Cricetulus griseus: one gene and its partners. The protein of the gene in region 1 interacts with the protein of each later gene in a pairwise test. Links are inferred from orthologs where the notes say so. Each region holds a gene or a part of one and is shown in the gene's direction. Other genes may lie near its edges.

Evidence for each region.
Region 2: the proteins of Otx1 (region 1) and Comp interact in binary tests that used the Homo sapiens proteins (3 or more experiments, as listed by UniProt). The two-hybrid records come from large-scale screens. The link is inferred for Cricetulus griseus from reciprocal best matches to the Homo sapiens genes OTX1 and COMP.
Region 3: the proteins of Otx1 (region 1) and Spry2 interact in binary tests that used the Homo sapiens proteins (3 or more experiments, as listed by UniProt). The two-hybrid records come from large-scale screens. The link is inferred for Cricetulus griseus from reciprocal best matches to the Homo sapiens genes OTX1 and SPRY2.
Region 4: the proteins of Otx1 (region 1) and Vwc2l interact in binary tests that used the Homo sapiens proteins (3 or more experiments, as listed by UniProt). The two-hybrid records come from large-scale screens. The link is inferred for Cricetulus griseus from reciprocal best matches to the Homo sapiens genes OTX1 and VWC2L.
Region 5: the proteins of Otx1 (region 1) and cysteine-rich hydrophobic domain-containing protein 2 interact in binary tests that used the Homo sapiens proteins (3 or more experiments, as listed by UniProt). The two-hybrid records come from large-scale screens. The link is inferred for Cricetulus griseus from reciprocal best matches to the Homo sapiens genes OTX1 and CHIC2.
Region 6: the proteins of Otx1 (region 1) and Adamtsl4 interact in binary tests that used the Homo sapiens proteins (3 or more experiments, as listed by UniProt). The two-hybrid records come from large-scale screens. The link is inferred for Cricetulus griseus from reciprocal best matches to the Homo sapiens genes OTX1 and ADAMTSL4.
Region 7: the proteins of Otx1 (region 1) and Spry1 interact in binary tests that used the Homo sapiens proteins (3 or more experiments, as listed by UniProt). The two-hybrid records come from large-scale screens. The link is inferred for Cricetulus griseus from reciprocal best matches to the Homo sapiens genes OTX1 and SPRY1.

The regions. Positions count from the first base shown.
Region 1 is NW_023276807.1:84,695,141-84,699,395, forward strand, and holds the start of Otx1 (homeobox protein OTX1), read left to right. Parts: upstream 1-1,455; coding exon 1,456-1,552; intron 1,553-2,395; coding exon 2,396-2,547; intron 2,548-3,899; coding exon 3,900-4,255. UniProt on the Homo sapiens protein: Probably plays a role in the development of the brain and the sense organs. Can bind to the BCD target sequence (BTS): 5'-TCTAATCCC-3'.
Region 2 is NW_023276806.1:248,600,942-248,605,076, reverse strand, and holds the start of Comp (cartilage oligomeric matrix protein), read left to right. Parts: upstream 1-1,335; coding exon 1,336-1,411; intron 1,412-1,628; coding exon 1,629-1,714; intron 1,715-2,101; coding exon 2,102-2,153; intron 2,154-2,502; coding exon 2,503-2,672; intron 2,673-3,439; coding exon 3,440-3,577; intron 3,578-3,712; coding exon 3,713-3,787; intron 3,788-3,871; coding exon 3,872-4,030; intron 4,031-4,115; coding exon 4,116-4,135. UniProt on the Homo sapiens protein: Plays a role in the structural integrity of cartilage via its interaction with other extracellular matrix proteins such as the collagens and fibronectin.
Region 3 is NW_023276807.1:257,384,644-257,388,826, reverse strand, and holds the start of Spry2 (protein sprouty homolog 2), read left to right. Parts: upstream 1-1,383; 5' UTR 1,384-1,806; intron 1,807-4,183.
Region 4 is NC_048595.1:424,192,699-424,196,918, forward strand, and holds the start of Vwc2l (von Willebrand factor C domain-containing protein 2-like), read left to right. Parts: upstream 1-1,420; coding exon 1,421-1,810; intron 1,811-4,220.
Region 5 is NW_023276807.1:141,545,311-141,549,395, reverse strand, and holds the start of cysteine-rich hydrophobic domain-containing protein 2, read left to right. Parts: upstream 1-1,285; 5' UTR 1,286-1,602; coding exon 1,603-1,721; intron 1,722-4,085.
Region 6 is NW_023276806.1:60,828,259-60,830,869, forward strand, and holds the end of Adamtsl4 (ADAMTS-like protein 4), read left to right. Parts: intron 1-329; coding exon of another isoform or gene 330-349; coding exon 350-553; intron 554-655; coding exon 656-835; intron 836-1,075; coding exon 1,076-1,220; intron 1,221-1,357; coding exon 1,358-1,494; 3' UTR 1,495-2,111; downstream 2,112-2,611. UniProt on the Homo sapiens protein: Positive regulation of apoptosis. May facilitate FBN1 microfibril biogenesis.
Region 7 is NW_023276806.1:112,081,566-112,085,810, reverse strand, and holds the start of Spry1 (protein sprouty homolog 1), read left to right. Parts: upstream 1-1,445; 5' UTR 1,446-1,686; intron 1,687-2,303; exon of another isoform or gene 2,304-2,413; intron 2,414-4,114; 5' UTR 4,115-4,169; coding exon 4,170-4,245. UniProt on the Homo sapiens protein: Inhibits fibroblast growth factor (FGF)-induced retinal lens fiber differentiation, probably by inhibiting FGF-mediated phosphorylation of ERK1/2. Inhibits TGFB-induced epithelial-to-mesenchymal transition in lens epithelial cells.

The DNA.
Region 1 (4,255 bases):
AGTTAGATCTAAGTATTCGAAAACTCACGCAGCACCTTCGCAGAACCGCGGCGGCTGGTGGCCTGTGGTTCTCCGGCCCAAGTGCGCTGTTTCCCTTGTGGTTCCGTCCGCCTTCCGCGCCTGCTGGTCTCCCTTAGTCCAGGCCGCGGGACCCCAAGGACCGAAGCAGGGGTTGGAGTTGGGATGGGAAAGCTACTTAAGTCCTGCCTCCTTTTTCCCTGAGTTCCCACCCTGGGCTCCCTGTAAAGCCGGGTGTAGCTAGAAGCCCCCCTCTCGGGTCCCAGCCCTACCCCCCCAGAACCCCTTCTTCCGCTGGAGAAGAGCGCCAGGGGCTCGCAGTGTCTTCGGCCGAGCCTAGCGCTCCCAGCTTGGGTGTGCGGGAGCTTTCCGACTTGAGGCCTAGTTCTCTGCTCTCCACCGAGTTCAGGAGAGGACGGCGAGGAGCCCACGCGATCCAGGGTGCTCTGGCTTCTGAACTCCCCAGCATGCTTTGAGCCGCTGGGCTGGTCATCCTTTATCAGACCCTGGTGGGACTCGGTGTGCTCTCTCGGACTTGGTAGAAAGAAGGTCGGGCCTGCGTGGGCTTAGGAGGACGGGTGACCGTCTTTGAGGCACCCCTGACCTTGGGCGGCTTCTTGAAACTGCCACTTCTACTGTGGCGCCTTTGGCATCTTCTCGCCGCCTCACCCGGGCCTGGGCCACATCTACCCTAGAAGTGCGTTGAAATTCCGGTTCACCCATCTCCTAGCGTCAGGGGCCCAGAGAGGTCAGATAGAATGGTGATTGGGACTCTGGGGGAGGGGGCTGCTCTGGAGATCTCTGAAGGAATGATGTGACCAAAATGGGCAGTTGCCTGGGCGATCCAAGGGGTACTAACCTTGGACCTCTGTAGTGCCAGCGGTTTTGTCCCTCTTTCAAAAACATTTGAAACTTAAACAAAATAACCCGGTACGTACGCTCTGTACGGCCTGCCATCCCGGCGCCAAGTGAACATTTGCTTGAGCAAATTGCTTCCGCAGCACTAAAAAAAAAAGACTACACTTGGGATTTTGCACCCTCCCCGGTCCCGGCTCTCACCTCCTCGGCCTGATCGCGCTTTTAAGTTTTCTTTCCTGTTGACACTCAAGGAGTGTCTTTGGCCCTTGTCAAGCCCTAAAAGAGGAAGGAACGATGTGGGGAAAGTTTACTTTTCTAAGAAGCCGGCTTGCTGAGCTTGGAGGAGAAATTTCTTGGGTTGCCTGCCCTGTTAAGTTCCTAGCCTGCCCCCCTCCCCATTCTAGGATTATAGGAACTGAAAGCCAAAGTGACTGCGGGTGACGGTTTCCATGTGTCTCCTGTCTCCTTAGGCCAGGCCCCCAGAAGCAACAGCTTGAAGGACTTCGAAGTGGGAGCCCTGAACTGCTCCTGGCCCCAGGCCCCCTGGATCCGTCGGGGCGCCTCCACCCGGCAGTTAGCATGATGTCTTACCTCAAACAACCCCCATACGGCATGAACGGGCTGGGCCTAGCTGGCCCTGCCATGGACCTCCTACACCCCTCTGTGGGCTATCCTGGTGAGCGGTGGCCCTATGTCCCTACCCCCAAGCCTGTGCAAATATTGGGGGATTCCAGCTTTTAACGTTTGAGCCCACACAGTCCCCAAACAGGCCCAGGGATATGATTATCTCTGTGTCTGTTGCCCAGATCTGCTACAGGCTCTCCGGTTTGAGTTTAGAAACTGTGACCTACAACTTTTGAGCTTGTGGTGCCTGCTCCTGTTGTGGTCTCACATGCTAGAGAAAGCATGTTTGTCCACCGACGTATTTCCCACCGGTTGCTTTTTTAAAAAAATAAAATCTTGCCCGCCCAAACATTTCACGAGGAATCTGGACTCGATAGGCCCTAATGTAAACAGCCAAACTTCCCTTATGTCTAGCTGCCTTGAGAAGCAGAGCTCTTTCTCCCTAGTCAGAGTGCCCTAGAGACCAGGGACCTGACCCAGCTCTTCCGTGGTGGCAGACGACTCCAACTGAACCCCGAATTTATTTTCTGGATCCTACTTCTTTGCTTGAATTTATTCACTTGGAAAGCTTTCCCAGGTCCTGTTTCTACCTACCTCTGTTCTACTTCCTACCTTTCAGCCAGAAGTGGGCTTAGGGAGATGAGGAGGGGATGGCTTTGTTTTTTATCTGAGAGACAAGGAGGGCTGAGGCCCTGATGTTTCTTTCAGACAGGAGCCTCTAGCCCAATTTATACACTTTGCCCCACCTGTGGGCAGGGAAGTTTGCTTTTGCGCGGAGGTCGGCCTTTCCTTTCCATGGCAGGGTTCTGGACCTACCAGAAGACCTGCGTGTGGCCTCTAGCTCCAGTCCTCGAGGTCCACTGCTGACTCCAGGTGCCCTTGTATGTCCCCACAGCCACCCCGCGGAAGCAGCGACGGGAACGCACCACCTTCACGCGTTCACAGCTGGACGTGTTGGAGGCCCTTTTCGCAAAGACTCGCTACCCGGACATCTTCATGCGAGAGGAGGTGGCGCTCAAGATCAACCTGCCAGAGTCCAGAGTCCAGGTGCGTGGTCTTTGGGACTCTAGGATTAGGGTAGGGGCGCTAGGAGCGGTCGGGGAAGATCCGACCTGGGCCATCTGGTGTTGGGGCCCATTCACTGACTGGACAGCCCCTCTCTAACTCCCCCTAGTGCTGGGCTTCAGTCAGCTAAAGGGGGGTAACATTTTAAAAAGTAATGGCTTAGAGCCCAACATCTCTCTAGCCCTTGTCCCCAGGGCGCTTTCATTGTTGAAAGTCGGTTTTTGGATTTTGGAAAGGCCAGCCGTGTCCCCCGGGTGTAACTTTCCCAGAAGGTTAGATAATGGCCCCTGCTTCCTGGCTACAACAGAATTTGGCGTTTTCCTACTGAGCCTTAGCTCTCCTTCCGCTCTTGTCTTTCTTACCCTTCCCTTGAGTCCTGGGGATTCTAAAAGTGCAAGATGGAACTTGGTCACAGCCTAGCGCAATCTGCCTTGGAGTGTGCTCTGAGGGTGGAGTCGGTATGGTTTGGAGTTTTCTCCAGCCGAGTGGAGGCCGAGTGCAAAATCCAGATGCTGGGTTTACTGTTTCTAAAATGAAACAGTTCAGAAAATAGGAGTTCTGAGTTAGTCTAAAACTCTTCCTCGAGAGTCTTTTGTCTCAACTTCTTTCCCTGAAGGCTCGAGAAGGGACTGGGAATGCAATGCCCCGTGTCCGGGCCCCTCCAAAAGGAGTGCGAATTTATGACTTATCGTTCCATTTGGTACCCCACCTGGAGCCAAAAGGCCCAAGGAAACCTCACCCAGGCTTCCTTCACGAGAATCCCAGTACTGGAGTACTGCTTCCGTTCAGTTCAGCCTCCAGCCTTGCTTCTGTTCCCACCCAAATATTTGCCCTGCCCAACTCCAGTCTCCAGGAGCCGACTCGGTGAAACCCCTCGGGCCCCAGACTTGGTGACTGCCCTACTCTCCGATGTTCTGTACTCTCCGCTGTTTCCTGAGCTCTGTTCTTGGAAAACAGGGCCTCCAAACTAAAACGGGGCTGCGGGGAAGCAGCCAACTGCAACAGCTTAGAGATGGCTGAACTTCTGGCTGGACAGACGCAAACGTTCCGCCCTTGGGCAGAGTTGCGCTGGGCTTGGGGAGGTGCGCATCCCTCCTGCGGTGGAGGCTGACTGGGGGCTTTGCGCAGAAGGATGGGGGAGGGAGCCAGAGCTGGGGACCTAGCACGTGCGGGGGAGGGGACAGGGTCTGGCAGGGCCAGAGACTGGGAGGGGTAGAGGCTGGGATTGAGAGGTCCCTGAGATCCTGGGCGGGGTGTGAGTCCGAGGGGCGGAGGAGCTGTGAGCTCCACTAGCCAGCCCCCTGATCCCTTCTCCTTCACCCTGCTCACTGCAGGTTTGGTTCAAGAACCGCCGTGCCAAGTGCCGCCAGCAGCAGCAGAGCGGGAACGGAACGAAAAGCCGGCCGGTCAAGAAGAAGTCGTCTCCAGTGCGCGAGAGCTCGGGCTCGGAGAGTAGCGGCCAGTTCACGCCGCCTGCCGTGTCTAGCTCGGCCTCTTCGTCTAGCTCAGCGTCCAGTGCCTCCGCCAATCCCGCGGCTGCTGCGGCCGCGGGCCTGGGTGGGAACCCGGTGGCAGCCGCGTCCTCTCTGAGTACGCCTACTGCTTCGTCCATCTGGAGCCCGGCCTCCATCTCGCCAGGCTCAGCACCGCCATCCGTGTCCGTGCCAGAGCCACTGGGCGCACCGAGCAA
Region 2 (4,135 bases), on another chromosome or scaffold:
GTGTGCCTGGGGGATTTGGCCTCTCTGAACATGGTCACCTCCAGACTCCCTCTGCAGGGCTGTTCTCCCTCCCTCACCCTATAAGCATCCCTATTGCGTTCCAAAGACAACTTGGGCCTCAAGTCATTGGCACTGCCCTTTGCTAGCCTCACCCCTGATCTGACACCCTGGGGGCCATCTATCCAGCAGCTCACACTCATTCCTGCTGAGGACTATTGCTAAGCAGCTCCCATTGCAGCTTCCACACCTCTGAGTGACGGTGTAGCCTAGGCTCTGACAGGCTGGGGACTGTTGTCTTCCTGTGTCCCCAACAGTGACCTAGCAGAGAATTTGACCCAGGACAGGCACATTTATGTAACACATGAATGTACTCAGAAATCTAGACACACATCTTCCAGTGTCTCCCTCTCTAGAGCCACCTCAATGCTCCTGCCCACTGATCTAAGGCCCTTTTTATTCTCTTTGTCCCCTGTGCCTCCTCCTCCAGGCAGCCCTCCATGACTTAACTTCTTGGAACAAGATTTTCCTGGGTGTCTGCAGTGGCCCCAGGAGGGTCAGATCCCATTCTTGGACCCCAGCTTCTCTGTAACAGACTGAACTGCGAGACCTGGGAGGCTGCTTAGAGAGGGTTAAAGTTCCTGGATGCTGAGGTAGTTCACAGCTCAGAGAAGGAGATTTTTCAGTTCCCAGCGGTTTTCAGTTTTATAACGGGCTGTCTCCCTAGCGCCGGGGGTGGGGGGGCAGCAAAGCTGGGTGCCGCCCACTGAGAACAGAACCCCAGGGAAGCGGAGGTCTCCTACCCTACCCCGTGCCCAGCACCCCCACTGTGCAAAAGGGGAAACTGAGGCAAGACTGGGGATTCTGTTTGGAGGTGCTGGAGTCCAGTACTTTATACCTTCATAGTCCCCACAGCCCCCTGCAGACCCGGGCTGAGCCATGCCCACAGCCCCCTTTGCAGGGCTCTGATATAAGGAGGGAGTGTAGGAGACAGAGTGGGTGGGCTCAGACCTTTTGAGCACTTGTGATTTCACCAAATGTTACCCGCGAGGGGCAGAAAGATGTCTTGCATACAGCACGCATTCAGCCGTGAACTGGAGTTCGAGCGGGGAGCCCCACTTGATTCCCCGAGGCTCACCCCTCTCTCTCCTCAGACCCCACCATGGTCTGATCAGCCGAAGGTCGTCCCGCGCCTTGGGGCGCGGCCCTGATGCAGAGCCCGGCCTGTTTACCTTGTGGCGGGCTCTGGGCAGGGCCGCGGGGGCTGTCCCGGGCCGGGCGCGGGAATAAATAGGGCTCGAGCTCGAGGGCGCAGACAGCAGCCGCAGCTCCACCGCCATGGGTCCCACCGCCTGTGTTCTAGTGCTCGCTCTGGCTGCCATGCGCGCGACGGGACAGGGCCAGATTCCGCTGGGTAAAGCCGCTTAGTGGGGGACATGGCTGGAGAGGAGGCCCCTCGGTTTCCTCCAGGCTCGAGATTCTGGCTCCTCGGAGTTGGGGGTCTGCTCTGCAGAGACCTACCGGGCCGAGAGATTAGGCGGCGGGTGGAGCTGGAGCAGCGGGTGGATCTGGAGGGCCCCGAGGGGTGATGGGGTGGTTGAGTCGCCCATCAGTGGCCCCTGCGGACACAGGTGGAGACCTGGCCCCGCAGATGCTTAGGGAACTTCAGGAGACCAACGCGGCGCTGCAGGACGTGAGGGAGCTGTTGCGACAGCAGGTAAGGGAACAGAGGGAGCCAGTGTGGGGACACAACAGAGCCAGGGGGACACAGCGCAGTGATGAGAGGTGGACAGACAGGTGACAGAAAAGAACAGAGAGGGCGGCAGCGCGGGGACCGAGAGATGGCGCGGACAAGAGTGTGGGACGGAGTGGACACCTCAGGGCGCGGGACAGAGCGCGGGACCGGACACACGGACCGGGCCACAGCCGGGGAGACAGCGGATCCGGCAGAAGGAGATAGAAAGGCGGTGGCTATGCGCCCCGGGCTTCCTAGGGAGGGGGGAGAGGAGGAGGAGGAGGAGGGTCGGAGGAGGAGGAGGAAGAGGAGGAGGTGGGGGAGGAGGAGGAAGAAGAACCACAGGGAAGCTGACCTCCTGCCGGACAGGTCAAGGAGATCACGTTCCTGAAGAATACAGTGATGGAGTGTGACGCCTGCGGTGAGCACAGCGGGGACCCGAGGGTCGGAGGAGGGCAGGGAAGCAGAGCGTAAAGGAGGAAAAAGGGCTGGGGAAGGAGGCTGGCGGGGCCAGGAGTGAACGGGGATGGAGCGGACTGGACGCTGGACAGCGAAGAACCAGAGGACCGCGCCGCGGCAGAGCGCACGCGCGAGAGTGCCGCTTCCAAGCGGGCTAAAAAGAGCCTTCTCCCGGGGCGTGGTCACGAACGGCTCCACCCTGGGCGGGGCAAGCTAGTCTCCTTGTGGGCGCGGCCGTAAGGCTCCTCCCCTGGGTGTGGTTCGGAGAGGCTCCTTCCTGCGAGCTTGGCCTAATTATTCCGCCCCCAAAGGGATGCAACCGGCGCGCACTCCCGGCCTGAGCGTGCGGCCAGTACCGCTCTGCGCACCCGGCTCCTGCTTCCCCGGCGTGGTCTGCACGGAGACGGCGAACGGCGCGCGCTGCGGCCCCTGCCCTCCCGGCTACACCGGCAACGGCTCGCATTGCACCGACGTTAATGAGGTGCGCGGGCTTCCCACACCCCCGCCATCCTGACGCTACCCGGACCGACTCCACCACAAATTCCCTCCTTCCCGACGACCCCCTTATCCACCGAGGGTGCCCTCCTGCCCCTAGCCCCGGGCGCAAATCCAGAAGACCTCCCTTCTACTGGGGAAGCCCACTCGGGCCAACTCCATCACTGCCCCCGACGCACGCCCTGACCACGCCTTCTGCTCCCACTGACGCCCACCCCGACGACCTCTTTGGCGCTGGGTGTGGCTCTCCCCAACCATCCTCCTCACCACTGGGGCTCGCTAGCCCCGACCACTCGTCTACTTTGGAGAGTCGCCCTCCTGGAGCACCTGGCGATCGCCGCCGTGCCTGCACGTGCCGTCGGCCACTTCCTCCTTCGGCTGGGGATGCCCGTTCCCCAAGTTCATTTCCTCACTCCTAAGGGGTCACAGCCTCATGTCCATCAAGGCAAAGCCGTCTGTGACCCTTGGGGTCTCCAAGAGCTGGTTGATGGCCGTGGCTGCGAACCATTTGGGTCTGGCGGCGCTCGCCTTTAACCCCAGCTCCCGAGAGGCAGAGGCAGGCGGATCTCTTTGAGTTCGAGGCCAGCCTGGTCTACATGGTGTGTTCCAGGGCGGCCAGGGTTATTCAGTGAGACTGTGTCTCCAATCAAACAACAAAAACAAACAAACCCATGTCCAAATCCGAGAAGCTTCAAGGTGCGGCTCTTGCGATCCAGCTGGGGGCCCAAAATCTTATGTGCTCCTTTTTCACAGTGCAATGCTCACCCCTGTTTCCCGCGCGTGCGGTGTGTCAACACCAGCCCCGGCTTTCGCTGCGAAGCCTGTCCACCTGGGTACAGCGGCCCCACCCACGAGGGCGTGGGGCTAGCCTTCGCTAAGGCCAACAAACAGGTAAGGGGAACGGAAAGCTCGATCCACACCCTTGTTCCAGTGAGGAAGATCTGAAGTCTGGGTGGAGAGACAGGTTGCAAAGAGGCGTGGCCCGGGTGGGACGTGTGTTGTCTGCCCGTGATCTCCGTCCCCCAGATTTGCATGGATATTAACGAGTGTGAGACCGGGCAGCATAGTTGCGTCCCAGACTCCGTGTGCGTCAACACCCGGGTAAGGAAGGCAGGGATGGTGAGAATGGCGCTGGCGAGGCGCGCGTGGGTGCCCGATTGACGGTCGGACCGCGCCTGCGCACAGGGCTCCTTCCAGTGCGGCCCCTGCCGGCCGGGCTTCGTGGGTGACCAGACGTCAGGCTGCCGGCGGCGCGGGCAGCGTTTCTGCCCCGACGGCTCACCCAGCCCGTGCCATGAGAAAGCGGACTGCATCGTGGAGCGCGACGGCTCGCGGTCGTGCGTGGTGAGTGCCGGCGCCCGGGAGGTGGCGAAGGGGTCCCCGAGGAGCCCGGGCGCGCGTGGACGGTGACAGTGACTCCCCTGCGCAGTGCGCCGTCGGCTGGGCCGG
Region 3 (4,183 bases), about 170 Mb from region 1:
AACAAGAGGAACTTCTGTGAGAATGTTCTGGGTGACAAACAGTGGGACTTGAAAGATGACTCTCCTTTTATTTACGGTTTCGCGAAGGAGGGATTCAATTTGCAGGGGAACAGCGTGCGCCCCCCCCCCCATTTCGGAAGTCCATGATGTCGCCCTGAGTAATCGCGTGGGTATTACTGAATTAATTTAAAAAGCTTCTGAGTCGAGCAAAAACAATGCCCAAAAAAGTCTTCAAAAGGCCTCCATCTATAGATAATCCCTCTTAAAAATGAAATTCTAACAAACTACACGTCCACACAATCAAAAGCCAATCCCAGCCAGAGCAGAAGGGACTTGAAACCCGAATCTGCATTCCGTTCCTGCCGTACAAGGCTCGGAGGTGGGGGAGGCGGTTTGTGCTGGTGCCCGGTGTATAATCGGGTTAATCCAGTAGACAAAGAATAAACCAATAGCCCTCCCACCTCACTTCCCGCTCCCCTTTCCCTCCCTCTCCCGCTCCCCCCACCCTCTTCGCCCCCCTGGGCATTGGAGGGGGTGGGGCGGGCGAAGGAGGCGAAGAGGTAGATCCGAAATGGATTCCCGAATCGAATCTTTTAAAAAGCCGCAAGTGGCTTTTCACGCTCGCACCGTGCGGCCGGGTTAGTTTTTGCAACGTCCCCTCTGGTCTCCGGGCGGCGAGGGAGAAAGTTCCCTAAGTGAGCCTGGCCTCCGGCTGGTGCTCGTGGCCTCCGGGGGTGGGCGAGCGAGCGAGCGGGCGGGGCGGGGGGGGGGGGAGCCTTAAGGTCAGTGTTTCCTTGAAACTAGATAAACTGACCTCGCGGTGGCCGCAGCGGCCCCGCGTGACGGCGCCCGGGCTGCAGGAGCGACTGGGGACGCGCGGGGCGGCGCGGTTGCCCTTTTGAATGCCTCCTGCGGCTCGGAGCGCTGGCGGGCGCTGGAGTGTGAGTGAATGTAGCCCCGCCGAGCCAATGAGCTGGGACCGGATGCGATATATCCTCTGGGACAACAACTGCTCTGTTCCGCCTCGGATCCACATGACGCCATTTACTGCTGCCGCGGCCGCTGCAGAGCTCCCTGCCTCCTCCGGAAAGGCGAGGGCGCAGGCCAGCGGCTCGCCCCCCCAGGCCCCAGCCCCAGCCCCAGCCCGGCCCGGCCCCGGCCCCGGCCCGGCCGGGCCCAGACCCTCCTCCCCCACCATCTCCTCCCCTGCGCACCCCGCCCCCGCCTCGGCCTCGCCGCCGCGCCTCCGCAACGCCCAGTCTGCACGAGCCAGAGCTGCGCGCCGCAGTGCGAGCGGAGGGGGCCGGCGGAGCGCGCAGCGCCCAGGCCCCGCGCGCGCCCGCCCGGCCCGGCCCGCGGCCCCGCGCCAGCCTCCGCTCCGAAGCAGCCCCGGGCCCCCAGGACTGGGCGAGCTGGCCTTAGGTTCTTTGTAAGGCCGTGTTCGCCTCTCTTTCTCTCATCGGCCAGGAAAAAAGAGACTTCGCCAACCACGGCGCTTCGGCTTCTTGTTCATTGAGAAAAAAAAAAAAAAGAAAGAAAAAAAAGAGGAAATACTCCGTGCGCTTCTGGAAGGGAGGTCATCTCTCTCTCTCTCTCTAGCCCGGAATCCGAGAGGGTTCCAACGGTGGAGGATTGGGTTCCAAATTTTCCCCTGGTTGTTTTTCTCCTGCCACCGATTACTTGGAAGTTGGACTGAAGCAGAGTTCGGAAAGAAGGAAAAAGTTTGCATCGGGACTGGATTTACTTTGCACATCGCAGAAAGAAGAGAGTCCAAGGGAGAGGGGTTGGTGCAAAGCCGCGATCACGGTGAGGAGCGTTTGGCTTTTTCCCTGCTGGAACCACAGTCCGCCGCGAGTGGGGTACGGGTTCCTCTTTCCCCTAAACCCGTAGGCTTCCAGGGAGGATCGGGAGCTGCCCCGCGGATCTGCTTCGCCTAGGACAGGGGTTCAGTCACCGCCGGGCTGCAGGGTGCGCCGGTGCAGTGTCCCCACTCCGCGACACCGCGCTCCCTAAGGGCTTTGGGGAGGAGGACCGCTCCACTGCGTTCTGCTCCTACCCTGCTTTGGAGGCGGTTTAGTCGCCGAGATCCCTGCTTTTCCTGATCGCTGTTGCAGGCTCGTTTACGCTGCTAACCTGTTCCTCCTTTCGGTGGAAGGCCAAGTTCTGGGGAAGCCGATCCTGCGGCGGGGGGCGCCTGTGGGGCTGGGGTACTGGGCTTCTCATCTCACCACCGCACCGGAGCAGAAGACTCGGCGGACAAGCCGAGGGTAGGCTGCCAGGCGGAGGGAGTCCCCGCCTCTGCCCGGTGTGGACAGTCTAGCCCGGTGCGGGTGGGAGCGTCGCCCAGCCTGGCGCCGCGTCTCTGCGGTTCGGAAGTGCGGCTTTCTCTTTTTTCCGTTCTTCGTGGTCGGCCTGGGTCATGCTTTTTTTTTCTTTTTTCTTTTTCTTTTTTTGATGCTTGGGCTGACCTAGCACAGGAAGAGAGTTATTAAGTGGTCGCGATCGTTTTCCATTACCTGAAAGTAGGTGGCAAAAAAAACTAGTTTCCCCCCTCCCTCTTTTGTGTTACTGTTTTTGAGATTTGGAGTCTTAACGCCTTTTTTACAAAGGGGTTTCTGTGTCGGTTTGCCCCACCCTAGTGCTGAAGTCCTTTCCCCCTAATCCTTAGTCTGATCACACACTGTTCTTAATGGGGGTTTCAAAGCACTCAGAGGGGGAGGGAGAGGAACTGCGAGAGCGCAGGGGGTGGAGGCGGCCCGCGAAGGAGGCCGCCAGGGATCGGCAGAAATCACTTTTTTTTTTTTTCTTCCAAAAGATGCTACTTTTCACGGGCAGTCTTCACGGGAAGTTCCCGATCTCAGGGGTCGGAGGCCTGCACGCCTGGCGTGTCCAGTGGGGCTCTAGATAAAGCTTTTTCTTTTTTTTTTTTTTCGTTTTAAGAAATAAATCTTTTTTCTTGGTCTAAAAGGAGGTAGGCGTGTGCAGATTGCAGGCGGTGCTCTCTTCGGTCATTGCACGCTGGCTGGAGTCTCTCTGGGAGCGTGGGTACATAGACTTCTGTGCAAGCTGTGCGTCCCGACCCGGCTCTCTTCCTCGGGGCGTCGGATTTGGGAACTTGTGGGGACAAGCGTTTTGAGGGCCTTCGCAGAAACACCTTGTGGTGACCTTGCTGCGGGGGTGGGCGTGTTGGAGTGGCACCCCCTCTTGGGGCTGGGTGGCAGTTCTCTTGGGTTGGGGGAAATTTTAGCTGAGGGGGTGCGGAGGAGGGGGAAGTGTGCTCGTGCATTTCACGACACGTCCCCTTCGGAGGCGCCCGCGCCCCCTGCCTGCCTGAGCTTCAGGGGATTGCTCGCAGGAGGGGCCGGGCTGGCCCTAGACAGCGTCAGTCCGCCTGGAGGAGAAAAGTCCCCGGGGTTCTGGCTGAGTCCCACCTGCTGCGGACTGTGTGGGGGCGCAGATAGAGCCGATAAACCCAGTGAAAGCAAAGAACAGCCTTGTGTACCTTGCTGTTGGAGGTGAGCAGATCCGGTTTCCAGCTCTGTCTAGTTCTGAATTAGGAGGCGTTTGTCACCTGCCTTGTTCGCTGCCCTTTTCCAAAAAGCCAAGGTTGGATTAAAAGTCCGCTTTTGCTTATTTTCTTTGGTATTTTTATGAGGGCCTGGGAGAGGGGTGGTACTTTTTAAACCGAAGAATGACTGTAATTTAAGCGATCCCTTGACGAAATGATAGGTTTCAACCGTGACACTTAGGATTTTTAAAACCTTTCCTATTGCTGTTACTTGCTTTTGTGTTTCTGGGTATTTTTCAAAACGAGAAGATAACATCATTTTTGCATGCTTTATTAAACAGGGAGAATGACTTGGGATTGAGGATATAAGGCTAGACTCATAGGTCTGTGGAATATTTAATTCTCGAGTAGTGGAAAATACGTTTTGGTCTTACGAGTTTGTTTTCACGTGATAGCTGATGGGAATCGAAATGACTTCAATTCTGTAACTTTGTACCACTGTACTTACTTAAAAATGCAGCCTTAATTGTTCTCAGAATGTACTTTTATATCATATGGGACTGGCAAAAGATACTGATTACACAACTCTCGGTGCTGACTTAAACCGAAGCTGTTGTAGGCATTTGTTGGTGTTTAGTGTAAAAAGGATCCTGACAAATTTAAACCTGTTACAAA
Region 4 (4,220 bases), on another chromosome or scaffold:
TTCCATTTTACTATTACTCGAATTTGCATATCTAACTTAAAATGCAAAAATATTCTAAGAGTTTACAAAGTTTCCTAGCATCATCTTCATCATATTTAAAATTATCATAATTATATGCTGGCCTGAAAATAAGTAGTTTATTACTGTTTTTAATATAGTTTAGAGATAAAACAATGAATGAAACTTAGATATCTTAAAATGTCCTACAGACAATCTTAGTAATATTGGCATGAAGCCAACAGCATTTAAATAGATAAATGAAATATTTTAAAATAATTTTCCTCATCCATGATTCACAGAAATTATAAGTTATCTACTCTAACTAGCCAAAGGATATCTCACTACCAATACCAAATACTAACACCCTGGGGGTGTATAACAGTTATTGTGCTATCCAGGCAATAAGGTATACAGTCTGTGAATATCAGTGCTTCATTATTATTTTAAGAAACTTCCAAAGAATTTTTTCTGGCATCTTTGCAGAAATTACCTAAATGCAAATATCTTGGTCATTTCCAATGAGTGATATTTTCAATAAAATGTGAATGATATTAATATAATATGGAAGTAATCAACTTCAAACAACATCACATGATCTTGGCTGCTATAAAAATTTATAGCTATATCTTTCCTGCCCACTAGGAGCTTATCTCCAGCATAAAACTAAAGATGTGAACAAATAGTATACATGACTTTGTTTTTAACAAGTCCATTTCAATAAATTAAATTTTTGTAACACTTAATTTATAAATATATTCTCTTATTCACTATGATTTGTTATGCTATTTATCATATTCCATGTGTTCCAAAATCCAGATTATGGGCATGAGAAAGAAAGCCTTTATACTTTATCCATCTCATTTAAACCTGCATCCAACTGTTTTATTTTTTTAGTTCCCTTGGTTTTTTAATGCTTCACCTTAACCTCTTGTTTTTATCCAGAATAGTGTAACATCTACATTCTATTACTGACTCATCCAATTTAAAGAAAAACATGGATGTGGTTCAAAATATCCTTGAACTATGTACTTAAAATCACTTTTTAAGCTTCAACAAAATTGCTTCCTACAATGTGCAAAGAGCCAGACCACTGGAATTCACAGGCAAATTACAAGCTAGAGGTGCCTAAGTAAAATAACTCCATAAATTACCTTTATTACAATGTACATTATCAAAATCCGCTATTCAAACTTTATAGTAGAGACAGTTGGATGAACATTGTTTATTTGAAGTCTCAGGGTCTTCCAAAATTGAACCTTTACAAACAATTTAAGAGCATGGGCTAAGTGCATCTTTACTCTTTCTATATGTCAAATTACCTTTTAAATATTTATTTTCAGCCCATCCCTCTTGCATTCCCATGGAAGGAGCTGAGTGTATTTAATATTAGGAGAACATCCAGAAGCCTGTGAGGAGGGGGATGGCTCTTCATATTCATGAAGCTTGCATACTTCTATTGGTCATCCCTGGATTGGTCACCTCTGCTGCCATCAGTCACGAAGACTATCCTGCTGATGAAGGTGACCAGGCTTCCAGTAATGACAATCTGATCTTTGATGACTATCGAGGGAAAGGGTGTGTGGATGACAGCGGCTTTGTATACAAGTTGGGAGAACGGTTTTTCCCGGGGCATTCCAACTGTCCATGTGTCTGTGCTCTAGATGGACCTGTTTGTGACCAGCCAGAATGCCCTAAAATTCATCCGAAATGTACAAAAGTGGAACACAATGGATGCTGTCCAGAATGTAAAGAAGTGAAAAACTTTTGTGAATATCATGGAAAAAATTACAAAATCTTGGAGGAATTTAAGGTACGACTTACCCTCCATATTTATTGAATTCTAATATTTACTGCATTAAAATTGAAGCTAGAACACATACCAAAATATAACTCCAGGCAGCATGAGTAGCACCATGGTTGGCAGAAGACCAGTTAGTTCATCGCTCAGTATCTCATAGTAATCACATTATTCAGATCGTCTTCAGCTCATGTTTAATATCTTTTCATTTTTAACCCTTAAAAATGTTCCTTCTGTGTTTTTATACAATGTGTTTTTGGAGGGAGATTGTTTGGAGGATATACCTGTTAAATTAATTTTTTTATATTCTGTGAGTTTTCTGGCTTATTGGTCTGTATTTGGAGCCATTTTCTGATGGCCTTGACATATTTGTTTGCAGTGTTGAACTGTACATGCTATAGAAAAGCACTCAGAGCTGTGATCTCTATTTTAAGAAACTTCATTGGGTCTACTTGTTATAGAGCAGGGCTCGGGCTCAGCTCTCTGTCCATGAGATGTTTTTCTTACAAGACTTCCTAGAGAACTGATTTATTTTTTTCTTATCATGGCCTTCAAAAAGAGAAGTTAACTTCTCAATGACATATTCATTTTCCTTTCACCTTTGTGTCTCACTTTACATAACAAATAACATGAAGTTTATTTTTATTTCTTCTTGAGTTCTCTTTTCTCTGGTCGCTAATGCTAATTAGAATGTCCTACAAGCCACACATGAATTCTGGGGGTTTGAATCAAGAGTATCCTAGTTAGTTGTCATGATGGTTTGTGTGCTGGACTGTCTTTTCTTGCTGAAAGCTTAATATTAAATGTTCTAATTTTATCAACATTCTGTGACATGGTCTTTATAGCGTTATAGGTAAAAGAAGTCATAGCTAGTCATAAGTGTGCTTGTTAATTTTTGAAAAATGAATGTTCAGTTTTTAGACCTGAGCTAACTTCTCTCCCTACAAAGTAAAATGGTGCCAGAAGTCAGCATGTTGTAGAAAGATTTGAACTGATCATCATTATGGCTTTTGGTGTATGGCTGACTTAGTGTGTTCGGTCCATTCTGGGCTGTGAGTTCAAACTCACTCTGGTTTCTAAAGGAAGGCCTGACTTTTTTCACTACATTCTTTGGCTGCAAAGAAAAAAAGGCTTCAATGATTACATCAACTTTGTTTGATGGAACTGTCGCTGTTACTCTGAACTTTTCTCTTTCATGTATTATAAAATTGTGTTGTGAAATATTAAGAAGTAAAAGCAAGAGAGTTTAGTCAAGCTACTCTAACAGAAAATAACAGTTAAGAGCAGACTATCACACTAATGAAAATATGGTCTTTAAAATATTACATACACTATGTCATTAGCTATTTTTATTTTTAGGTAGTGAAAATATAGTATTCAACATATTATGATCAAAATATTGTGAACAATATATTATGAACAAACTCAGTGACAATCCCTTCTAATATGCACCTACAATTAGAGTAAATTTTTCAAGAAAGAATATCTAGCCCCAGATCACAGGAGATACAGTTTTTGACAGATAAAAGTTGGCAATCAGTACTTAATATATAAAAGAATATATAGTCTGGTTTACAAATTTAGTCAGCTTACCGTTAAAGCACTTTAGTTTTCCCTCTACTTACTATATTTACCTAAACAAAAATATGACTTTGGGAGCTAGGGAGATTCTGCACTGGTTAGGAGCACTAGCTGCCTTTCCAGAGGCCATGAGTTTTGTGCTCAACACTACGTGGTATCTCACAACCATCTGTACTTCTAATCTACGGGGATCTGATACCTTCTTCTGGCCTCCCAAGGTACCAGACATGCATGTGATACATAGACATACATGGAGGTCAAACGCCCAACACATAAAAATAAACAAAAATTTTGAAAGATACCTGTGTTACCATCTCAAGCAACAAAAAAACATATGAACAAAACCTTGATGATTTTTGTGTTCCTAGTTATACCTCCACCATAGTATAATTCTTTATGTAACATCCCTTAATGACAAAAGAACAGATTCCATTTTTTTCACAAAGACATGAGCACAAAAATTCTGTAGATACTATCTAGGACAAAAATGTTACAATGAAGAACTAATACAAAGAAAGTTTAAGTTACCTTTCACCCAAAAGTCATCCATTTGCTAAATTTGTTTTGTAATATTGCTTTCTAGCAATTAAATCTCTTCAACTTCTCAGAGCACTTTTATGTCAAGGTCAGAAATAGCTGAATTTGAAGACCAAATTCCTCAGTGGAATGTAAGATCTCAGCCACAGTAGTAAGACTATAAAATAGCCATTGTAATGATTAGTTCCCTTGTGGAGAGATGTTGAAAATATTTAATGAAATATAATGAAGTCATTAGGCCCAGAACATTTAGGAATTGAATAAATTGATGTTCTCTAGTCTCCCTCATTCTCAAATACAGGGA
Region 5 (4,085 bases), about 57 Mb from region 1:
GTGCACCATTGGAGACCTTGGCAGACCCTCTGAACACCTGATAAGAGAAATACAATTGCTTGCCTTAATGACAGATGTTACTGCCAGAGACTATCACACACACACACACAACACACACACACACACACACACACACACACACACACACACACACACACACACACACACACACACACACACTGCTTGCCACATAGCTGGGTCAGTGTTTATTGAATGAATACATCTGGGAAAGTAGGTCGGACATATCAACTATTCTTCCCTTCCTAACTCACTGCCCATTTTCAACTCTTTCCAATATTTAGTTGTTCAGTATTTTTCAACCACCCACATTAACCTTTTACATTTTCTGCCCGAATAAAGACCCATAAGTGAACTTCAAGGATGTAAACACTATATGGAGAACAGTACTGGACACCCCCAGCTCAGTGATAAACTCTCATTACTCCATTGTCCATTTTGTCCTTAGGAGTCCATCTTTGTGCTGTTTGTATGCCTGGCAGACTCTTGATTATGAAACCAAGTCCAAGGTGACCCATCCATTAAGTCAACTGCTCCTCCCTCCCCTTTTCTCCATCTCCTCTTCTCCACCCCCTCCCTTTCTTGTGGAGGAAGCGGGTAAAGTTTTAATGGAAGAGAACAGATTATCTTTCGTGATGGAGTTGAGACATAGAACTGAATTTTCTTAATTGGAACCCGGAGAATCTGTCAACTTTGTTATAAAGTATGATGGCGAGATTTCTCTCTCTGTGTGTCTCTCTCTCTCCTCTCCTCTCTGTCTCTGTCTCTCTCTCATGCTTGAGACTGTACTTGAGAAGCTAAAAGGACAAGATATTTGACTTTGGAGATTTATGGAAAATCAGGTTTAAATGTGGACAAGAACGCACTGTTCTGTTGGTCTCAAGTTGGGAAAGTCAACCAACTTTTGGTTCGCACTAAATACACTGACAAACATTGAGATCAGATGATTAAGCCGGCAGTTCCAGGCAAGAGAGGTTCTCTCTTCCAGCCAGGGGCTTGGTCCGCAGTCGTTGTTTGGGCTAGAGATGAATTCAGCTTGGCTCTCGGAGTCGAGCCAGGGTCATCGCCCCCGTCCCCACAGACGCCGCCTTCCGGGTCGGTGACCCTGGAGCCTGGGGGCGGGGCCGCGCCGGGTAGAAGCCGAGGAAAAGGCCGGCGTCCCGGGAGCGCGCGAGGCCTGCCGCGTGCGCGCGCCCGCCCCACGCTCGCGCCCGTCAGCGCGCCCACGCCAGCCCGCTCGCCGCCCGCCCGCCCGCTCGCCCGCGCTCCCGGGAAGTCTCGCGATGCGGTAGCCGGCTGCTCCTGCTGCGGGTGGCTCTGGCTGTTGCTGTGGTTGCCGGAGTTGCGGGCGGCGGCGGCTGCGGCGGCGCTGGCGGGGGTGGCGGCCCCGGCGGATGTTGACATTGTGTTGTTGTTCCTGCCCACGGTAATGGCGGCGGCGGCGCCCGGGACCGGGTCTCCTCAGTAGCCAGAGCCGACACTGCCGAGCGCCAGCCCCGCGGCCTCCGCGCCCGCAGCCTCGCCAGCCGTTCTCCGCGGCCGCCCCAGAGCCAGGGCCCCGGGCGCGGGGCTCGCAGGCGCGGGATGGCGGATTTCGATGAGATCTACGAGGAGGAGGAGGACGAGGAGCGGGCCCTGGAGGAGCAGCTGCTGAAGTACTCGCCCGACCCGGTGGTGGTCCGCGGCTCCGGTCACGTCACCGTGTAAGGCCCTGCGAGGGCTAGGAGAGGACGGGAGGCGCGGGCTGGGTGGGCCCCGGTACCCCTCGGAGTCGTCCTTCCTTGAACCCCTGTCTCCGGTGACTGGCGCGGGATGGGGGCCTTGTGGAAACGCCAGCGACCAGGAAGTGAGAACTTGCTCTGTTGCCGTTTGTTTAGGACTCCCAAGTGGGGACAGACACTGTCTTCCCTCCCTCCCAAGCCCTGTAGCAGGCCCCACGGCCCTGGGGATGTGTGGGATCCCAGCAGGAAGGATGGTCTGCTTTATGGGCCATCCCTTCTGCCCAGGGATGGAAGTGCATGTGTATTTTTGGGATCCATCCAGGTAAATTGCCCCTCTCCCCCGTTATTCTTTGGGACTGTGCCTTACGGTCTGTTGACATATGGCTCAGAGGTAAGATCAGGGATGTGAGACCCCACTGGCAATTGATAAATAAGGTTCACCGTCTTGTTTTTGACACATACCCACAGGGCTTCAGAGTTCCCTAAGAGTACATTTCTGCAGAACTAATTAAGTCTCTGCCATTATATATAATAGCAATATATAGGTGGACATAAAAATAGGCAGAAAGATACATGTTTGCAACGAATCACAAGTCCTGAGTGTCCTGTAATCGTTCTGCTTAGGGGCACGGACTCTAGGTTGGCTTCTTGTTTGATAAGGGTTCCTGTAAGGCTTATTGGCACCATCAAAAGTCCAATATTCAAACACTACGGGATGAAAGCACCCTGAAAGGTCATGACTAATAAAGGAATGTGTAGACTTGAAGCAAATAATGAGCTGTCCGGAAGGAGGAAGTTTTATAAGTTTTGCAACATTTCTCTGATAAGTCCGGAGTTGGGGTATCGATACTCCTTCGCAGCTGGTATCTCTGGTTAAAAGTCACAGCTCACACTTCCTGTACTTGCATGTCGAGTTATCACTGATATAAAAAGGGGGCGAGCCTGAAGATGTCTGGAGCACTCTTCATTGTGTTTTGATGTAGGGTGAGTGGGATGTGCTGTGAATAAGTCAGTGAAACAGTGAGACTTCTCATCCGATTGTCAGCAGAGCCCTTGCATTTCTCAGTGTTGTTGAGAGCAGTCATACTGACAAGCCATGTTGTTGTTTGGATATGCTTATGTAATGCTTTGGTTTCTTAGCATCTGTTAAGTGTGTATTTAGGTGACTTAACAGGGTAAAAAGACTGCATAATCATTGTCCCAGGACCTGGGATAAGGAGATGGGACTTGCACCATAATAACAGCTCTGTTTTAACTGTCATCACACGCTTAATTAAGGTATATAGCCAATAGTGAATAATACAACTTAAGTGTATATCTCAGTGTTTTTACTATCATAACCTGATATTTAATTTTTAGTTTGACTCTTAGGACTTTTTTCTTCTTGTTTTAAATGTAAAGAAACAAAAAGCCCACGGACTCAGTGGCACTTGTCTAATACCAACACTCAGGAGGCAGAGGCAGGTGGATCTGTGAGTTATAGGCCAGCCAGGGCTGTATAGAGAGACACTGGCTCAAAGGGATTTCCAAACTTTTTCATGTTATCTGTGATTGTCCTTAAAGTCCTCATGTCTAATCAGAGCTGGCAGAATTTTATTTACAAAGGTTCAGCCAGGGCTGGGGAAGAAACTCAGTGGTATAGAGTGCTTGCCCTGGGTTCAGAACAGCACAACAGAAAGAAAGGTTCAAGTACAGTTGTAATGTCTCTTCAAGAAGAAAAGCCAAACACTTTGTTGGGAAGTAGATAGGCAAAGTGCTCTGATGGTCAGTAAATTTAGGTTGTAGCCAACTATTTGGAGTGGTTAACAGAGTGGAAAACAATTATTAGTGGTTTTTCATCTTATCATCTGTTAGAATCACCTGGCATTGAGCTTAATAAGCATTAGCCTCTTTATTGTTATCAGTATTGTAAATAAGTACTGCCATTTGCAAGTCTAACAGTGATTCATTTAGTCTAGTTTGTCTGCCCATTAAAATCATCTGCGGAGCCCCTGCTTTTGCTCCATCCCTTCTCCAGGCCATCAGTCCACACATGAATGAGACTCTGGTGCATGATGGGGTTAGGGGAGGGTCTTGTAGGTGGTTCTGATTTGTAGCCAGAACTGTGCTCCAGACACTGGTGATGGTGGTGTTTGCACACAGTAGCAGCAAGCCTTCATATGTTTGTGATCTTCCTCAGGCACTTCTGGTAGCCTGGTTATAACCGTCTTCCGCTGCTTATATAAATTACCCATCTGTGTCTCTTCAGTTCACGTGATGCTAGCTAGGTTAAGGATTAAGTGAGATAATGTATGCAAAGAGTGCACCAGTGTGTTGCTGTGCTCAGGGAATACTAGCCTTTATTAA
Region 6 (2,611 bases), on another chromosome or scaffold:
TAATTATAGAGTTTTACAAAAAATTAGGTAGGGTGCAACTAAGTTGGTAGTGTGCTTGTGTAGCACGTGTGAGGCCCCGCTTTTGATCCCCAGTATCACATAAACCAGGTGTAATGGCACACACCTGTAATCCCAGCACCCAGGAGGTAAAGACAAGACGATCAGAGATCCAAGGTTATCTCAGCTTCATACCAAGTTTAAGGACAGTCTGGAAACTGTCCAGCAGTCTGTCTCCCCTTCCAGGCTGGTACCCCAGGGCATTCCTGAACTCCTGGGATGTGGGCCCTGCCCACCTCAGTCCCAGTCACCAGCAGCCTCCCTTCACACAGGCCACTCTCCCTCTCAACAGTGCTCAGCTGAGTGCGGGACAGGAATCCAGAGACGCTCTGTGGTCTGCCTTAGGAGTGGGGAGACCCTCCAGGAGGACCAGGAAGCAGGAGCAGGAAGCACTGAGCATGGCTGCCCTCTCAGAAGCCGCCCTCCTGACATGCGCGCCTGCAGCTTAGGGCCCTGTGAGAGGACATGGCGCTGGTACACAGGGCCCTGGAGTGAGGTCAGCTGAGTTGAGGGTTTGGAGATGGGGGACAGGAGGGAAGTCAGTCCCCGTGAGTCCCGCATCGGGACTAAGAGTGGTCTCTCTTCCCTTCCCTTACAGTGTTCCTCAGAGTGTGGGTCTGGCACACAGCACAGAGACATCATCTGTGTGTCCAAACTGGGAGCTGAGTTCAATGTGACGTCTCCCAGCAACTGTTCCCACCTCCCCAGGCCCCCTGCCCTGCAGCCATGTCAGGGGCAGGCCTGTGAGGACCGATGGTTTTCTACTCCCTGGAGTCCGGTGAGTGCCTGGCTCCCTTGTCCTGCTCCACCTGGGCCTCTAACAAGAAGGGCTTTTCTCAGTGCACTGCCCTGGGCACCTCGGCTGAGCTCTCATGCCGTCCCACTTCCTGTTGACTAGGAAGACTGGTGGACCCTTTCTATTTGGGATTTTACAATGTCCCACCACTATCTTTCCGAGAGGGAGGGGAGCAGCCCTGGAAACTTTAGAGATTTGATCTGATGGGTATGGTCTCCCCAGTGTTCTCGCTCCTGCCAGGGAGGCATGCAGACGAGGGACGTCCAGTGCCTGAGTGCCAATCAGACTCTCAGCACCCGATGTCCTCCTCGCCTGCGACCTTCCAGGAAGCGGTCCTGTAACAGCCAACCCTGCAACCAGCGCCCTGGTAAAGAGCTTCCCGGCCCACCCGTAGTGGAGGGGATTTGGCTGGGATGTGGGCAGATGTGAGACGGGCTGGTGGGAATGGGTAACACTTGAGAGGGATGATGTCAGCGCTGCCTTGTGCCATTGACCTGTCTCCAGATGACCAATGCAAGGACAGCTCTCCACACTGCCCCCTGGTGGTACAGGCCCGGCTCTGCGTCTACCCCTACTACACAGCTACCTGCTGCCGCTCATGTGCCCACGTCCTGGACCGGTCCCAGCTGGAGCCTGCCTGAAATGGGTCCAAGAGATCCTTTCTTCATGGGTTTCTTATGCCACCACTGGCCACCCGCTGACTATCCCACTCTGTATCCTCTGGCTTTTCACCTGGTCTGGGTCTCACCAGGGATGTCCTCTAGGGGGAGAGGACAAGGTGACTGTTGACCTGCTGTTGGGTTTGCACTACAATGTGACACCCTGGGATGTGTACCTGGCCTGCCTGGGTGTTTGCCCCTGTGTATGTGTCACTTCCTCAAAAAAGCAAACTGAGGAAGAGGGGGAAGTGCACAACACCTGTTTCCCGGATGCCTTCTTTTTCCACGCTAGTCTGAGCTACATAGCATGTGCCCTGTAAGTTCCAATTTTATGTCCCAATCCTCATTTCCAGGCCAGGCCTCACACCATTAAGCTACCCTGTTGTTCCTACCCCTTCATCCCTCCCTCATTAGCTAGGGGACCCCTGCTACCCTACCTTGCCCAGGAAGGACCACACCTCTCCAGAGCAGGGACCAGTGTGAGGAGGATGAAAAAGAGAGATGTCAGCATTAAGACACCCTAGCCCCGGCCCCCACTTCACACTGGTGACGCCCATCCCAGAACTAATTTATTTTTTATTAAAGTTGATTGTGACAAACATTGCTCTTCATTATCCTCACGAGGACCCTGCCATCTGAGCAGTGCGCTGCCAGAATCTGGTGTGGGGAGGGACGGGAGGAAGGGTCGTCCCCAGGGCTGTGGAGGGTGCGTCAGAGCCGCCTGGCTCAGAGGCTGGGGATCCTGTGCGGCCCCAGAACTGCAGACGGCTCACTGGCCACTAGAGGCCACTACCTCTTCCCGTTTAGGGGTAGTGATGGGTGCGTGCTTGGATCACCGCAGAGTCTGTGGTGGGCTTTCGGGTAGGCTCTTCCGGTGGGTGGTCTGCAGGAACCCAGAAGGACTTTTCAATTCAGAGCCAAGCAGGCTGGCTCAGTGTACGTGTGGGGGTCCTCTCGCCTGGGCCTTGGCTTGTCTTCTTTTACCCACTTCCCTGTTCAATACTTGGCTTATTGCTTCCCATGGGTGCTCGTGGCCGAGACTTGCTCAGCAGAATCCGAGCCCAGCCTGGTTCCCCGGGACTGCAGGAGGAGGGGGGAG
Region 7 (4,245 bases), on another chromosome or scaffold:
TAGGAATTTTTTTTAGCACATCTCTGGCTGAAATACTCTGAAGTGTATTTTAGTAAGAATCTTTGAAATTGTATTTTATTAGTGTCGAGTAATTAAAGCTGTTCATTGCTCCCTGTCCTCGTTTTATCACTGACCTCCCTGCTAAATTTATGCAGACAACTGAGAAGTGCCAAAAAAGATACTCTGGTATGATACTGCATTAGCGATTGGACCCTTCCAATCCAGTCCTAAGAAACAGATCCACAGCTGTCAGGCCTTATTACATTGCTACCTCTGTGGGAAAATAGACAAGATACAAAAGCCCCACCAGCTTTACATTTGAAACTATGACTTTAACACATTTCCTAGCATGAAGGTGAACAGACAGCTAGCTTCCTGGCTTCTAGAATGTTCTATTATCCTCTAGTGGCCTTTCTTATGGAGGATGTTCTTTGCAGGAGTGTCCTGGATGTCTCCCATGCAATTCCACACACAACTGTGAGTTCTAAAAGCATTTAGATACTTGAAAATGAAGTATGCAAAAACCAACATCAACAAAAAGCTTTTAAAAAAAAAACCTGCTGTTATTGTTAACACTTTAAAAAACTACTTTGAGCCCAAAACATCCAAACTCACATTGATGGATGATTTAGACCCTGGAGATCTGTTGTTTATCAAAACTATTCCTGATACAGTTCCCTGGGAAAATATTTCCTATTAACAATTTTTGGGGTCTTAGGTTATTTTAAAAACCCTCTATGGAATTTTTAGTTCCACATATAGTTCTTTTCACTTTGTCCTGAGCTACATCATCCCAATAATAAATGTCCAAAATCCCAGAGTTTGTAAGGAAACAAAAAGCATTCCCCACTTACTAGAGTCCCCCTACCCTGTGACAGACATGTAACTAAAACTAAAGCTTCTTCATGAGTTATTCTTATTTTACTTGCTTTTTGTTGATTAAAAAAAAGTTTGTGTTTTTTTGACAAAATTATACAAACATTACAAAATAGCAAGGACTTACTTGGGTTTGTTTTTTTTTTTTTTTTCCGAGTAATTTTTGGGATCATACCATAAACCGAAACGGAACAATCACTAAAATCCCACAGCAGGAGGGATTTCCTGCTGTGGATCATTATATTACATTTGCAAAAGTGACTGTCCTTTCGGGAACTTTCATACTGTATCAGCACACATTTTCCCTGGGGCACGGTGGAGAGGTGTACAAGTGTTTTTGTTGTTGTTGTTGTTTTGTTTTTGCCTACTGTTCTTCACAACTCTTTTCTAACTCATAAGGGTGAACGCATCGGTTTCCTTAAATCGGAGGCTGACAGCTCACTGACTATCAGGGGCCCTGGAACATGTGTTGCTGCCCAGTTGAGCTCAGAGGCAGTTTTTTCGGAGCGTCCTCGAGTCCACATCCACGATCGCTAAAATCCTGCTCCGGGTTTTGGCTCAGCCCGCGTGATTGACACATGATATCACCGGGGGCGGGTCCCAGCGTGGAGGTGGAGGTGGCGGCGACGCTGAAATGCTGCGGAGCCCGCGCGCGAGTGCTCAGCACGCAGGAGTTTGCGGCGGCCCCGCAGCCAGAGCTCTGCGGGCTAAGAAGCAGCTGCGCGCGACGTGCATGTGCCGGGAAGGCCGGCCCCGGGCTCTGCACTAGGCAAGAGCCTTGCCCTCCCGCCCAGGACCTGGCGAGATCAGGTGAGAATGGTGCTTTTTTTTTTTTTTTTTTTTTTTTCAAGGACCGGACGTTTTCGGATCTGGCTCTAGCTTGGTGCCCCGCGCTGGGCGCCCGGCCCTGCAGCTGGAGAGCTGGCTCCTTTCGCTTTCCCGTAGCCGGGCAGCGAGTTCCGCGTGTGCGGACGCGGGCTGGCATCGCCGCGCACCCGCGTGTCTGTGCGCATTGTTGGCGACCGAGCCGCCGGGCGCTCGTGCCAGACCTGACTTTGCAGTCCCCGAGTGCGGGCTTGCCGCGAGCAGACGCGCCGTTCGGACGCGCTTTTCACTGCAGGGCATTCCGTGGGGGCAAAACGTGCACGGCCGCGTGTGTCCCGGGCTCGTGGCTGCCCATCACCGCGAGGAGGACAGCGTCCCGGGCTGGCGAGGGACTCACGTGTTTCTGTCTCTGCTCGTCTGCAGCCGGCGTGGCGACTGCGGGGACGCGGACCTGCGGGGACCCGAGCGCCCGGGACGACGCCGGGCCGCGCGCCTGACGACCGGGACGGGACGGTGCTGTGGAGCGGGCGCCGCGCGCACCCGGCGGATGTCCCGGAGCCGCCCTCGGCCGCCGCCAACCGCGGAGAAGCGCCCCTGCCCCGGGGCCGCCGAGGCCGCAGCGCGGGCTATGAGCGCCCGGCCGCCCCGCCGCGCTTGATGCGGCGCGCATCCCGCCCGTTCGGCGCCCCGGGCCGGCGCCGCGGAGGCCGAGGTGAGTGCGGGCGGCAGGTGCGGGCCGGGGCGGGCCGGGCGATCCTGGCGGTCGTCGCGCAGCCCGTGCCAAGCGCGCGGCACCCGATGGCGCTGGGGAGCCAGCGGCCGCCTATGCTCGGAGCGCAGTGCCTCGCGACGCGGGGAGAGGGCGCTGCCTCCTCCCGCCCGCGAGCTGTTTTCATTCATAACTTTCCCCAGCCCGAGCCGCTGCGGCTCGGTGTCCCTGAGGCCTATGTGCGGGCTCACAGAATTGTCCGCGCGCACCCGGCTGCTCTCCGGGCGGGTGCGGGCGCCGAGGTGCTCCGCCAGAGCGAACTTGCTTGGGAATGCCCTGTAAAATGCGAATTAAAGCTATGCCTGGGGGTTTCATTACTCAAGCCATTCCCACGTCTTCCTTTCTTGTGGATGAAACTTGGCACATTTAAAGTCTTCGTTTTGGAGTTTTAAGTTTTTTAAAATAGATAGGGCACGGGAGTAACGACTGGCTGTTTCCCATTGTCATTTAGGGGTTCGGTACTAAGACGTGCTGTTACAGATGTGTTTCTCGTGTTTGGGGAAGGTAGAATAAACTAGAGGGGCCCCCAAGAAGCTAAACATGTAGTCTAGGAGCATCCGTAGCAAACTGCTTTTCCTTGAGACGTTTTGTTTTCTTTTGGCACCTAATTCAAGTGCCGTCTTGAATTAGGGTGCATCTGTGGGTTTGGAGAGCATTTGTGTGAAAAATATCCTAGATACCTACTGCCCGGAAACGGGAAAGTCAACTTTTGCTCTGTTTTAGGACGAATGCATTATAAATTGTAAATTATTTCTTGACGTGAAAACGTGTTTGTTGTGACGAGATATTAGTGTGTTTACCTTATTACAAAAAGCAGCTCGATTCAGGGCTTGTTGAAAATCAAGGTCTGTGGTGTAGATGAATGAAAGGAAATAAAGATAATGCAGAGACTAGGGCTCCTCTCCCTGCTCTGTAGGTTTGACACTTGTGCATAGAAGTTATTCATGTTGGTGAGTGAGCCTTGTTTAACCTTTAAAGAACCTTCTATCCAGAGTTTGTGTGCATGCTCTAGCGCCAGCAAGACAGCTAGAGCCGCTGCCTTCTCCATTCCTTGTAGATTCTTTTTCTCATCTCACAGATGAGCTTTAGATCCGGACTTGTGCCCAAAACGGCCTATTGAGATTCACGTGAGCTTGGAATATCCAGTGTTTTGGAAATTGCCTTGATTAATTTTCTCATTAATCTAAAGCTCTTAACAGCGAACAAATGGCCAAGAGGCCACAGCACTAAAGCCATTCTTAATCTTTAAAAAGTAGCTGACATTTTCCTTACGTGAACTGCCAGTGAACTGATAGTGAACTCTCTGAGAACAGTTCCAGGGCGCGCACTGAATGCTCCCTTCGAAGGCATATTTCATTTTAATTATTTGTTAGGTTTGCAAACAGGAAGACATGACTTCCTCTGCTTTTTAGAAGCTGGAGAGCAACTTCTAATTTTTGTGGCATGAGGTCTTGCTTGCTTTCTTCCTGTGATGTGGCCCTCCACAATCCTTGTTTTTGGAGTTGGACTCCTGCCAGGATTCTGCATCATTGAAATCAGCCGATGGAGGCGATCATTGCCAGGTGGTTTGGGCAATTTGTTACTTACAGGCGCCCCCCTCCCCAAAATGCTTTCTCATTTATTTTCTCTCTCACTCTTCTTTAGGATTTCCGATGCATGCCAGGTTTCTGCTGACTGCCGGAACCGGAGATCACTCCACATGGATCCCCCAAGTCAGCATGGCAGCCACACTTCCCTAGTGGTGATTCAGCCACCGCCTCTGGAAGGCCGTCAGA